Linked DNA regions of Ovis aries. The main gene of each other region encodes a partner of the protein of the gene in region 2 in a complex. Links are inferred from orthologs where the notes say so. Each region holds a gene or a part of one and is shown on either strand. Other genes may lie near its edges.

Region 1 (4,059 bases), on a different chromosome or scaffold from region 2:
ACCTGGGAATCCAGAGATCCCGATTGCTCTGCAAGCACAGTGGTCTCTGGCGCTGCTTCCTCTCACTCCTCCAGCAGTGGTCCCCAGTCCCTGCCTTTTCCAGCCTACTGACTCCTTTATCAGTGAATCAAGCCTCAATTTCACATTCACATTCTTCCTGGCTCCAAGTCTTCCTCTGGTCTCAGGACTTCCCACCAGCTCTCCACCTTCTCAGGTTGGCCCTAGTCTCTTTTTCTCCTAGCCTCCCTTGCTAACCTCCATGTCCAGTTCTCCCATCTCTTGATCCCCCTGAGGAGACCAGCCTGAAGCTTCTCTCCAGGCCCCTTTCTGATCCTGGGGTCCTTCTCATAGCTGGGGCTCCTCTGGGCTCAAATTCTCCACTGCCTCCCCCTGAACTCTCAGTGCTCCCACCAAAGCTGACTCTCACTGCTGGGCTGTCTTCCCATCTCCGTTTTCCTCTGATTCTCCGCGTCTGCTTCCTCTGTGGGGCTCCCTTGGTATCTCCCAGTCTCTGCCCGTGCCGCCTTCCTCCTCCAGATTTCATTCCCTCTCTCATTCCCGGGCTTCTGGTCCTGCTCCCATGTCTGTGCACCCCTCAATTCCTGTGGTCTGGCCATACCCCCTCTCCTCCCTGGTGGCTCTCTGCCCTGTCTTCTCTAAGTCCCCCACTCGTTATGCCTGTCACTTTCCTTCTCTGTCTCTCTAGTTAAGTCTCTCCTCCCAGTGTCTTCCCCCTCCCCAGACCCTCTTACCCCTGCCTTTGTCTCTCTCATCTCTTCCTCCTGCTCTATCTTTGTGCCCTTGATCGGTGTCCACTTCCCCCCTTTATCTCTCAGGATCCCCTTGGTCGCTCTGACTCTGACTTTCTCTCCCTTCCTCTCCCTCACCCTAGGATCTCTGTCTGCCTCTCTCTGAGTCCTCGCTCCCTCCCTCTCTTTTCCTCGGCTCTCTCCGGCTCCCTCTCTCGCCTCGGATGACAGCGCTGCCTCTTTTGTTGGCTCCGCAGCCAATCGCGGCCGCTGACGACACGGGGGCCGGGGCTATAAAGGGCCTGGCCCGGGCTCGGGCCCCCCCAGCCGCCCGCCCCGGCCGCCCGCCCGCCCCGCCCGCGCGCCCGCCGCCCCCGGCCCCCCCGGCTCCCCCTCGGCCGGGCAGCCCCCAATCCCCACGCCGCCCGGACCCCCTCCTCCCCCTCCCTCCGCCCCCTCCCCGCGGGACTCCGGCGTCCCCGCCCCCCAGTCCTCCCTCCCCTCCCCTCCAGCATGGTGCTCGCGGCCCCGCTGCTGCTGGGCTTCCTGCTCCTCGCCCTGGAGCTGCGGCCCCGGGGGGAGGCGGCCGAGGGCCCCGCGGCGGCGGCGGCGGCGGCGGCGGCGGCGGCGGCGGCGGGGGCCGGGGGGGAGCGCTCGAGCCGGCCGGCCCCGTCCGTGGCTCCCGAGCCCGACGGCTGCCCCGTGTGCGTGTGGCGGCAGCACAGCCGCGAGCTGCGCCTGGAGAGCATCAAGTCGCAGATCTTGAGCAAACTGCGGCTCAAGGAGGCGCCCAACATCAGCCGCGAGGTGGTGAAGCAGCTGCTGCCCAAGGCGCCGCCGCTGCAGCAGATCCTGGACCTGCACGACTTCCAGGGCGACGCGCTGCAGCCCGAGGACTTCCTGGAGGAGGACGAGTACCACGCCACCACCGAGACTGTCATTAGCATGGCCCAGGAGAGTAAGTGGGCGGCGGGGTAGGAGCGGTGGGGTGCTGGTTCCCGCTCCGGCTCCGAGAAAGTGAGCGCCTCCGGCTCCGAAGCGGGGCGCTCCGGGTCACTCCGGCCGGAAACCCTTTTCTGCGAAAACTTGATGGATGGGGGGGCGGGGGCTGCTCCACAAGTTTTCCGAGCTGTGGAGATGGGCTGCGGAATTGTGTGCCCGCCCCGCTGCCGGAGGTGAGGGGGCAAACGGAAAGGGTTGCGAGATACCGCCTCGCACCCGTGTTGTGGGGATTCTGTAGCGGAGGGGAGGGGGCGGCAACTCATCCTGAAGGGTCCTGGTGGAGAGGCTGGAGAACAGAATCGGCAGGCTCCGGGACTCGCGCAGTCCCAGCCAGGCTGCCGTGCTCTCCGCCTCTCAATGGACCTGGCACCGACTCACCGCCCCGTACACCTTGGGCTTTGCAACGCGCCCCTCGGGCTGCCGAAAACCTAGGGCTCCTTTCCGCCTCCCAGGAATGAGATCCCGAGCCCTGTATCTCAGCCAGGGCCCAGCAGGCACCCAGCCGGCACCCATTCCACCGGGAGCCCTTCTGACACCGGCTCTCCCCAGGGGCCGAGAAAGCCGTGCCTTCTTGGTACTAACAGAGCTCAGAGAACTCAACTCCATGGCGCTGGGGCTAAGGGCACCCATTTGGCAACTCAGACCTTAATGTTGTATCTTATATTCACCCGCCTCTAGCCGCAACCAGGCTTGAGGAGCGAGAGAAAGACTGAGGGAGGAAAAAAAATTTGGTAGGAGGGAGGGGAACCCAGGCATCCTAGTCCCTGGCCAAACGTAAGATGAACATGTTAATAGACTTGAGCTGCTTTGAAATTTTATGGCCTGGAAAATCCAGGCCAACACTGCCCCCCCAACCCCACCCCCTGCAACCCCCCCAGCTCTCCCTAAGGTCAAATGATGCCCTTTCCCCCTCCTCGCACTGAGGTGTTCCCCCCACCCACCCCACCCCCAGCAACTGCTGGGAACCAGATCCCCTCATTCCCTTGTGGTTTGGCAAAGTCGCCCCCCTCCCCACCAACTGGTTTTATGGCTCTGAACAGAAGAGGGGGAGACTGGTTTATTGGCAAATGGGTCATAAAAAGCTGAGGGCTGAGGGGAGTCCTAGCAGCCCACCCCCAAGGGAGAGGCACAGGAACCCAGGTGTGCCTCTGGGAGGCTGAGTGCCCAACACTGCCACCAGTTTTTCTGTGACCCTAAGGCCACAGTACTTGGTTAGGGCTGTAAAGAAAAGCACACTCAAGGGACTAGGAAACTATCCTGGGGTGGGGGTGGGAAGGTCTAGGATCTGGTCTTGAGTTCCTCAGTCTCCCTTCTGTTCTTAAGGTTCTGCTTTTATACAAGCAATGGTCAGACTGACTGAGAGCAGAGATGGGGGTTAGAAATCAAGTTAGAAACAAGAGTGGTTGAGGAATTCTGAAGAAGAGTTTGCTGGAAGAAGATGAAGGGTATGGAGGAAAGAGATACTTTGGTCTATGCGGTGCGGGTGTGTGAGGATTTCGAGTGTGAGGGATGGAGCTGTGGACTTCCCCTTGCTCATTCTATCCCTAGCATCTCTTAACCAATAGGCCAGAGCCCAGAGATCGCTCTGGTCGTTGGGATGCAGGAAGTGAACAGATGCTGCACACACAGTTTGGGAAATGCAGGTTAGACTCAGGGGGTGGGCAGAAGGGGGAAGGACACCAGCAGGTGGGGTTTCACCTCAGCTTCTACCCTCCAGCCACCCCAGGGCTTGGATAACTAGGGAACTGGGTCTCCAGCCAGGTATTGTACGTCCCCTTTAAGAGACAAGCTGAGCTCTTAAGAGAGGGAGGGGGAGCCGAGGGGCGGGGAGGGAGAGAGGGGAAAAGGAAAAAGAGACTTTTATAGTCTAATCCCCAGGGACCCGCTTTAATAAGAGACTTGTGCTCTGCTAATCGGGGGAGGTGTTTGTCAGCAGAGATGGCCTCGGCTCCCCTCCCCCTCCCTCCCCTCCCCCCAGCCCTCTACCCTGGACCCCAGCCCCCACCTCTCCTAGGCTGCACTGCCTGCCCTAGTTCCCTCCACCCTCTCAGGCTCTCCCACCCCAGCCTCCATCCTGGGAACCCAGCCCCCTTGCCCTTCAGGGAGCCAAGCCCAGCCCCTCAGTTTCTCTCTCTCCTCCCTACACCCAGAGGCCCCTGCCCTCTCGGTCCAACCTCCTGCCCCTAGGCTTTCCAGCCAGGGTGAGGAAAGTGTGTTTGGTGTTTGGGAGTGGGGGGTGTGGGAAGAGGAGGAGGTGGTGAGCAGGGAGGGGGTTGGGCTTTTGCTGAAAATAGTGCAGTGACCTCTC
Region 2 (4,031 bases):
AAATTTAAAAGGCAGCTTTGAAATAAACAATATAGCATTTTCCGTGAAGTAATCGTTTTATATAAAAGGAAATATCGCCTCCTCTGTTTCATTCAGCGGTGCCAAAAATGTTATAAATGAGAGACCCGCCAACTTTCAGCGAAGAATGCCAGGCACTGTGCTTAATAAACTGAGGCTACAGAAGTTCATTATCGATGTTGCAATCTTTTTTATTCCGCGAACCGAGAGAGACTGAGGAGACTGGGAGTGAGAGAGACAGACACAGGACAGAAACTGGGGAGTCTCCGAGCCGCGGAAGGGGGGTAGACCGCCTACGTCGGCGCCCCCGCTCCGGGCTCCGACTCCTCCAGAAGCTGGGAAGCGAAAGGGGAGAAAAGAAAAGGAGAGGGCGAGACTGTGACGGTGGGGGGGAGGCCCGGCCCGAGGTGTTAAACATTTTTGTTTGCTTCTAACTCGTCGAGACGGTGGGCCGCGTCTCCGCCAGGTTCTGCCCGGGGTGGAAGGTGCCGGGGCCCGGGGTTCCCAGCCACAACCCTGGGCTCGGGGGTGGCCGCGGCGCTCGGCACGCGCAGACCCAGACAGACAACGTCGCGGGGTCCCGCCTCCAGGCTGCGGGGGCCTAACACGGCAGCGACCGGACCTCCGGCGGGGTATTAAGGCAGCTCGGGGCTCTCCGGGCGTTTGCGAAGTCTTCCTGGAGCGGAGGAGCAGCGTTGCGATCAACTCCCGCCCTGCCGCCCGGCTCCGCTCCGCCCTGCCCGCCGCCGCCTCCAGCGCCCACACCGCGCCAGACACACACACACTCACACACACACACACACACACACACACCACCCCGGGCGCGCCGGCGCTGCCAGCGAGCGGCGGCGTGCAGGACTTGAAGTGGGTGTTCTTCCCCACTCCCCACCCCCGAAGCGTCCCCCCCACCCCACCCCCCCGCGCCCGGGTCTCCTGCCCCCTCCCTCTCGCTCCTACGCAAATAAGAACTCGGCGATTCCCCTCCTGCCGCTTTGATTTCGGGCACCTCCACCAGATAATTGGGAAGGGTTTCAGAAGGTGGGAAATGTCACCTGATTCACACTGAACTTTTAAAAGCTCCCCACCCCCAAGGAACCGCGCACACCCTCGCTCGCGGCCGCCCTCCCACTGCCCCACACACTGGGAGACCGCCCACCGCAAACCGTGGAGACCCCCGTCTAGATTTAAAGCGCGGCTGCGCCTGGCTTCTGACGTCCATTGAATCGCGAGGGCGGCCGGCGGCAAGCGCTGGGCTACGCCGGGATATCTGCGCCCTCCGCTGCTCGCCTCTGCGACGCGCACCGCTTGCCAGAGCCACCCGCCGCCGCGCCCGCTCCCCGCGCCGCCGCGCCCGCTCCCCGCGCCGCCGCGCTCCTCGCCCCGCGCCTAGACCCAGGATGGCCCGTCCTAGGCACCAGCCCGGCGGGCTTTGCCTCCTGCTGCTGCTTCTCTGCCAGTTCATGGAGGACCGCAGCGCCCAGGGTAAGCGAGGCGGGATGCGCAGGGAGGCTCGGAGGAGGGCAGGGGTTTGTAGTTTTCGGGCGTCTCCACCGGGTCTGTTCTGAGCAACTCTGCTTTCGGAAGATGTTGGACCAACTTAGCGAATCCGGGATGGAGAGGAGTGGGAGAACTGAAGGCAGTGACACTTTAGAACTGGGAACCGAGTTTGGAGCGCAGTTATCCTTTAAAAGGAAAGGGAGTGAGCTAGAGTCTCTCTCAGTAGTTAGGGTTAGATGCTCCAAGTTCTGGATGTAATGAGTGTAGATGTTATCTCCCCTGTTTGGCTCTGAAGAAGGGGATAAGCATCGGTAGCCTGAAGATTGCAATCGACCCATTTGCAATCTAATCTCTCTCCCTCGTGCATCTTTTGGATACTTTAAAAAACGACTGAGTGGGGAGGGGGGAATACTGAAATTTCCTCGGTGACTGCGGGACGTGGTTTCAGAAACTTTGCCCAAACTTGGAAATGAGGGTGCCGAAAATTTTAGAGGGAAGTAGCTTTCTGCCTAGTGGATGCTTCGTCTAACCCCCTCCCCCCAACCCCGCAAAAAAAAAAAAAAAATTACCCCGGACTGTTTTGAAAAGTTTACAATTTTTTCCCCTTTTGTCTCATTACTGATTGTTAACTTTCTGTAGAACAGTGAGGAACCCACAATTGATTTAAATTCTGAGATGCAATAAGAGCAAATTTCTAAAGTTTTTTTTAATTAGATTTATCTCCATTAGTCTTGGGCAGAATTTTTAAAAATAATAATAGCAGCTTGCAGTCCAATTATTGTTAAAGTTATATGGATGATTCATGAGAAGTCTTCCTGACCAAAATCTGAACATTAAAAAGGAAGAAGGGGGGGATTACTTGCAAAGATATCTCGGTAGGTATGATATAGGGGTATATGAGACAGGGGTATGTGTGTGTGTGTGTGTGTGTGTGTGTGTGCGCGTGTATGTATGTATATGTATATATAACCATGAAACGATAGTAAGTCCCTCTCCCACCTTGTTTCCCCCCGCCCCCAACCTCGGTACTTTTCTTGAGGCAGACTTGTAACTTTCCTGACTTTAGCGTTATTTTATGCGTGTTGTATACGGCCCCTTAGGCACGGCCCCTAGCCGCCTGCGATGCACTACTGCTCTGAGTTGTCCACCTTTCGGAGCGAGGCGCTGCCTGACTGCCCGGGACGTGGGCGCCGGGGAAAGCAGCCCTCAGAGATTTCGAAAGATCGCGGTGGCCGCGGGCGTCCTTTGGGTCTGGAGGATTGCAAAACGGCCCGTCGGGCGGGCTGCGCCTCGAGGCCGCGAGGGGCAGCGCCGGGCAGGGCCCGGTTGCTTTTTTGCTTTCATTTTTCAGAAGTGCCTTTTGCGTGATCTGTTGCTGTATGTGTGTGTGTGTGTGTGTGTGTGTGTGTGTGTGTGTGTGTGTGTGAGTGTCTGTCTGTCTGTCTGGGTCTCTCTCTCTCTCTTTTTCTTTTCTTTCTAAGTTCTCCTACTTTCTTAACCCCTGTCACAAATAATACTCGTACCGCCTACATGAAACCGACATGTAAAAACATCCGTCGCATCCTGTTTTTGTCAGGTTCTTTAATCTGCTCTTCGAGTCGCTGCAGGTTATGAAATGGGACGAATAAAAGTAAACAGTCTAGTAAAAGTCAATGCAAGCTGCACGTGTTGTGTCTGGGTCACTGGTAACTGACATTGATATGGCTGGAGCGCTCGGGCTTCTCGCTCTCGCCCTCCCTCCCCATCGCCCACCTCCCATCTCTTCAATCTGGTCCCCCCACCCCACCCCCCACCCCTCGCCTTTCTCCACCCCTTCACTCCCTCTGATTTATTTTCTGCTTTTTCTCTGCCGTCTCTCCTCCACGCTCACTCCCTCGCCATCCCCGCCGGGTCTCCTTCCCTTGCCGGCTCACTGCCTTCCTCCCCCTACCCAGCCGGCGCCGCCGGCTCACTTGCCTACCTCCCCACCCCTGTCTCCCCGCAGCTGGAAATTGCTGGCTCCGCCAAGCAAAGAACGGCCGCTGTCAGGTCCTGTACAAGACAGAACTGAGCAAGGAGGAGTGCTGCAGCACTGGCCGCCTGAGCACCTCGTGGACCGAGGAGGACGTAAATGACAACACGCTCTTCAAGTGGATGATTTTCAATGGGGGCGCCCCCAACTGCATCCCGTGTAAAGGTAGGGCTCTTCCTCCCCAGCCTGCAGGCCCTCAGTAGAGGGCGTCTTACCCTCAGCTTCCCCCGTGCCCAGCCGGGGTTTGGGACTGGGAGAGCTTTGTTTGTGGGTTCCCCTGTTAGGAACCCTGGTAAGCTGATGGGGCTGAATCGCCTGTCACACACTACAGGCAAAACAAGGGTCGCCAGAGGTTCTCGGACTTCTTAGCCAAATGTGGCGGTGAAGCCAGCCAACCCTTGCTCATTGAGGGAGATTTGGGTACAGGATGCAGCCCACTGTCCCCCACCCTTCCCTCTTCTCAACTTCCGGGCAACAGCCTAGCCCCTTGGGCTCAGACTCCTAG
Region 3 (3,943 bases), on a different chromosome or scaffold from region 2:
GGATGTGATCGTTCTAGAGACCAACTCCATCTTCATCTTAAGACCAGGAAAAGCTGTTTTGAGCAGGACCTTCCTCCTTGGGACAAGGAACCTTGGTGAGGTTTGGCCCCTATATGCCTCCACCTGAGAGCTAAGCTTTTCTCTGGGAGTTTGAATTTGAAGGTTAGGGATGATGGCTCAGAGGGGGAAAGTGTGAATTGGTAATCGCTTTCATATGACACTTGAGAGATGTTATAATAAAGCTGAGTAAATTGGAGCATGAGTTAGCCGGCCCTTTGCCTAATGATGTCACCCACTTTCTGCTTCCTCCAGCCTATGATTAATAAAAGGGGATTATTACAGTAACTCACTCCTAGTGGGCAGTAGTGACTTCAGCACCAGCTGAGCAAACTGACTACATTTAGTCGTGCGTGTGCATGTGGGCATTTTTTTTTTCCCAGTGACTAACATGAAACTAACAGCATCTAGTAAAACAAAAGCTCCTTGAAATTTGGGGAACTTCTTGGGTGAACTTTTTTCTCCAGGGATCACAGTTTTAATTACTCTCATTTCATACTTAAATGAGGCAAAAGGACAGGATTGGCTTCACGTCCCCATTTATTAAGTGATCACAAATTCACCCGTGGCTTGTTGGAAAAGAGGTGTTCTGAAGCTTTTTTTCCTTCTAATACATTGTCTCTTCCTTCCTCCATCATTCGATCCCATCTTTAAAGAAGAACTTGGTAAATATCCAGAAAAGGGGGACAGGAGCTGAGTTAATTTTTGAAAGTCTAAGGCTAGGTGTAGACCCCAGAGAGTTCAGTGAAACTCTCCAAATACTGTGCTTAATTATAGTGTGCTTTCCTAAGTTGATAAAGACTAACGGAAGTCCTGCCTGCCAAGGCACCTTTGCAAACTTGACCTTCCTAAAATTAGAGTGGGGCACCTGTAAATATTTACTAACCAAGCCACAGTGTCAGTGTCTGTGAAAGTACACCGTGCCCAGAACAAGGGCACTCCTGTCATGCAGGCCTGGATGGGCCTGGGGGTGCTCCAATAGAAAGGTAGAACCTTTGGACTCTCTATCAGCACAGGAAGGAGGCAGCGATTCACTGATTAAAAAAAAAAAAAAATACACACAGGACTTCCCTAATTCTTTTCTGTGTCTTCCCTCCAAAGCTACAATTTGGGAGCAGGTTGTGGATGGGCAACATTGGATTAAGATCAAGATTCCTTCTTTTATGAGTCTAATGGCATCTGTAGGCTAAGCTTCTGAGTCTTCCAGGCAGCAACATGGAACTTTCAACCCAAGGGAATCCAGGTGAGAACCACAATTACAACTATTTGTTATTCGTTCCTTTGCAAGCATTGTTCATCATCTTCTGGGACAATAGGAAGAGCAACCAGATGTTCCCTGATTGGATTAGAACTGACTTTTGATAAACACTTTCAAAATATTATGTTGGTTAGTAAGGCCTTTTCGTTTTAGTGTTGCTTTTATTTCTTTTTCAATATCTATTTTTCTCTAGAGGTTATAACTGTGTATTTCTCTCTCTAGATTGAGTTTTTCACCAGGACTAAATGATTACTTCTTGGGAAGAAATCCAGGCTTTTCTGAATCATTTGGAAGTGGATGGAAGTCTTTGGTTCTAAAATAACCATCTATTGCAGAAACTAGATTCAGGTGTTGGCGTTGATGAGATGGCATCTGAGTGTCTAAGACGTTCCCCTCTTGCCTCGTTCATCTCAGAACATTCTCTGACTGACCCTCTCCTCTCTGGATAACCCAGGTCACTTAAGAACTAAGTGATAAGCCTGGAGAGCTGGCCTTATTGTATAGAGATCAGCATTTCACATCTCAGCTAGATGAATCCAGCCAAATTCCCTTTTGTGGGTTTCACCAGCATTTGTTGATGATGCTGATTATTTTCTGTGATATGGTCTCCTTCACAATATTTCCCCCAGTCCTCACAGGAGAGTAGCACCTGAAGGGGCATGGCCTTCCTTTACAAAGGAAATTTGGAGAATATAAAGTTGCTTGGAACATGCATTAGATTTCGCAAAGCACTGTTTTCTCTCTGTGGATATTGATTGTGTGTCATTCCCCCAAGGTATTAAACAAATAAAATCAGCCACATCATATTTGCTTGCTCTGGGAGCAAAGCATGGTAATCCCACTTTTGCGAATTTCACTTCAGGGAATTTGCTAGTGAGTGGATTTCTCAGATACCGACTTGCTCAAATGAATAACTCACTCCCCATTCACTTTTTGTCTTCCATTATCCGTTGCCTCCTGACAGCTTGGGTGGGGGCTAATTCATCTCGCTTTGCTGCCAGTCACCAAGATTTTGCTTTTGGTTCGAACACAAAGCCAGAAGCAAATACTTGGAGGCCTCCCTGGAAAGTTGGTGGGGATGCTTGAGAAGCACCCTTGCTCTGCTGTGCAGGCTTCTGGTAATCAGGAAGCCCAAGCCATACAAGGAGGCAGAATCACTTGAATGATTCCTCTCTTGCATAGATGCCGGGGCCCCTTGGAGCATGGATGGGAAGGAAATTAGGTGAAACTTTGGAATGATAACTCAACGTCAGGGCTTCTCCACTGCAGAGGAGTTACCATTTGGTGTCGGATGATTTCTCTGCTGAGACGGCTGTCAGGGGCACCATTAGAATGTTTAGTGGCAGCCCTGGCTTCTACCCACTAGAGGCCAGTAGCACCTTCCTTCCCAGTTACACCAAGCAAAAATGTCTTCAGACATGGCCATATGTCTCCTGGGGAGCAAAATCATCACAGTTGAGAGCCACTGCTGTAAGTGGAGTGATAACAGTTTATTTACTGAGGTTTTTCTTTCTGGTTTTTTCCTTAATCATTTTAATTCTAGGGTCTGGGTTCCCTTGGTTCAGGTAAGGCACTTCCAATTACTCTTAAAACAGAGTAGTTGCACATAGGACAAGGCCTTGTGGGATATTCTGGTGGTTTAAAAACAAAAAACAAAAAACAAAAAAACAAAACAGGATGCTTAGGAATAAGAGTTTTAGATTAACTATTTCTGATCCTGTTGTGTTCTAGTGAATTTTGGAGGACTTTTTATTAAAAATTTACTTTATTGAAGTATAGTTGATGGACAATGTGTTAATTTCTACTATACAGCACAATGAAACATTTATACATATATATGCCTCCTTTTTCATATTCTTTTCCATTATGGTTTATCACAGGATATTGAATATAGTTCCCTATACTATACAGTAGGAACTTGTTGTTTATTCATTCTATAGAACAAGAGTTTGCATCTATTTATCCTAAACTAATCCATCCCTTGGAGAAATTTTCATGTTTCCCTCTTCCTCTCTATTAAGTTGTATTTATTCATTGATTTGACCAGCAAACAGCTTCCTAGTTCAGTTTAGAATGTGAAATGCTCATTCTTCCTTGTCCCAAATCTCTCTTCCTAACCCAGCGCCCAAGAGATGGGCAAGCTCCGGCTGTCCAGGAAACAGGCAGGGATTGCCAGTTCCCTATTCAACCCAAACCATTCGATGAGACTCCGGAAATCTCCCGGCAGCAAATACCACTCTGGATCCCGCCCACGTTTTCTGGATCCGGAGAGGCACTGCCTCTCGAGGGAGTCACCACTCCCCACGGAGGCAAGGTTTTCCTGCCTGGAGCCCAGAATAACACGTCAGCTGCTGAGAACACCTCGAATCTTATTGATTTCTCCCTCTAGTCACGTTTTCTGTTCGGTCTCCCAGACGGGGGGATGAACCAGAAATCATGCTTTTGGGGGAACAGATTTTTCATAGGAAGGAACTAAAACACCCTGAATCGTCAGCAGCCTAGTCAGTGCTGTGAACCCCCCAGCCTCGTGCCATTTCGACTGAATCAGATGACAAGGTCCCAGTCACCTGCTTGGGGCGTTCACGCCTCCTAGCGGGATTTTTTTTTTTTTTTTTTTAAACAGAATAA

What was found.
Region 1: the proteins of FST (region 2) and GDF11 are in contact, whole or in part, in a crystal structure (PDB 5JHW), measured with the Homo sapiens proteins. The link is inferred for Ovis aries from reciprocal best matches to the Homo sapiens genes FST and GDF11. Residues at the interface, in NP_037541.1 of Homo sapiens: Leu34, Arg35, Gln43, Val44, Leu45, Tyr46, Lys47, Thr48, Arg60, Ser62, Asp72, Asn73, Leu75, Phe76, Met79, Ile80, Leu134, Asp135, Arg149, Gln153, Pro154, Glu155, Val180, Val181, Asp182, Gln183, Tyr188, Val190, Thr191, Asn193; in NP_005802.1 of Homo sapiens: Asn299, Leu300, Gly301, Leu302, Glu310, Arg312, Asp328, Trp329, Ile331, Ala332, Lys334, Arg335, Tyr336, Lys337, Tyr347, Met348, Phe349, Met350, Pro354, His357, Gln361, Ile380, Asn381, Leu383, Phe385, Asp387, Lys388, Gln389, Gln390, Ile391.
Region 3: the proteins of FST (region 2) and INHBA are in contact, whole or in part, in a crystal structure (PDB 2P6A), measured with the Homo sapiens proteins. The link is inferred for Ovis aries from reciprocal best matches to the Homo sapiens genes FST and INHBA. Residues at the interface, in NP_037541.1 of Homo sapiens: Trp33, Arg35, Val44, Leu45, Arg60, Phe76, Met79, Asp135, Glu152, Pro154, Glu155, Val180, Val181, Asp182, Gln183, Tyr188, Val190, Arg221, Thr224, Cys225, Arg229, Ser230, Ile231, Gly232, Leu233, Glu328; in NP_002183.1 of Homo sapiens: Asp315, Phe327, Asp337, Trp338, Ile340, Ala341, Gly344, Tyr345, His346, Gly360, Thr361, Gly363, Phe368, Thr371, Arg397, Ser400, Leu402, Tyr404, Asp405, Asp406, Gly407, Gln408, Asn409, Ile410, Ile411, Lys412.

Annotation. Positions count from the first base shown.
Region 1 is NC_056056.1:163,715,400-163,719,458, reverse strand, and holds the start of GDF11 (growth/differentiation factor 11), read left to right. Parts: upstream 1-1,259; 5' UTR 1,260-1,262; coding exon 1,263-1,707; intron 1,708-4,059. UniProt on the Homo sapiens protein: Secreted signal that acts globally to regulate anterior/posterior axial patterning during development. May play critical roles in patterning both mesodermal and neural tissues. It is required for proper vertebral patterning and orofacial development.
Region 2 is NC_056069.1:25,761,226-25,765,256, reverse strand, and holds the start of FST (follistatin), read left to right. Parts: upstream 1-1,231; 5' UTR 1,232-1,415; coding exon 1,416-1,500; intron 1,501-3,499; coding exon 3,500-3,691; intron 3,692-4,031. UniProt on the Homo sapiens protein: Multifunctional regulatory protein whose primary function is to antagonize members of the transforming growth factor beta (TGF-beta) superfamily including activin, myostatin, GDF11 or bone morphogenetic proteins (BMPs).
Region 3 is NC_056057.1:80,952,308-80,956,250, forward strand, and holds the start of INHBA (inhibin beta A chain), read left to right. Parts: upstream 1-1,143; 5' UTR 1,144-1,300; intron 1,301-3,943. UniProt on the Homo sapiens protein: Inhibins/activins are involved in regulating a number of diverse functions such as hypothalamic and pituitary hormone secretion, gonadal hormone secretion, germ cell development and maturation, erythroid differentiation, insulin secretion, nerve cell survival, embryonic axial development or bone growth, depending on their subunit composition.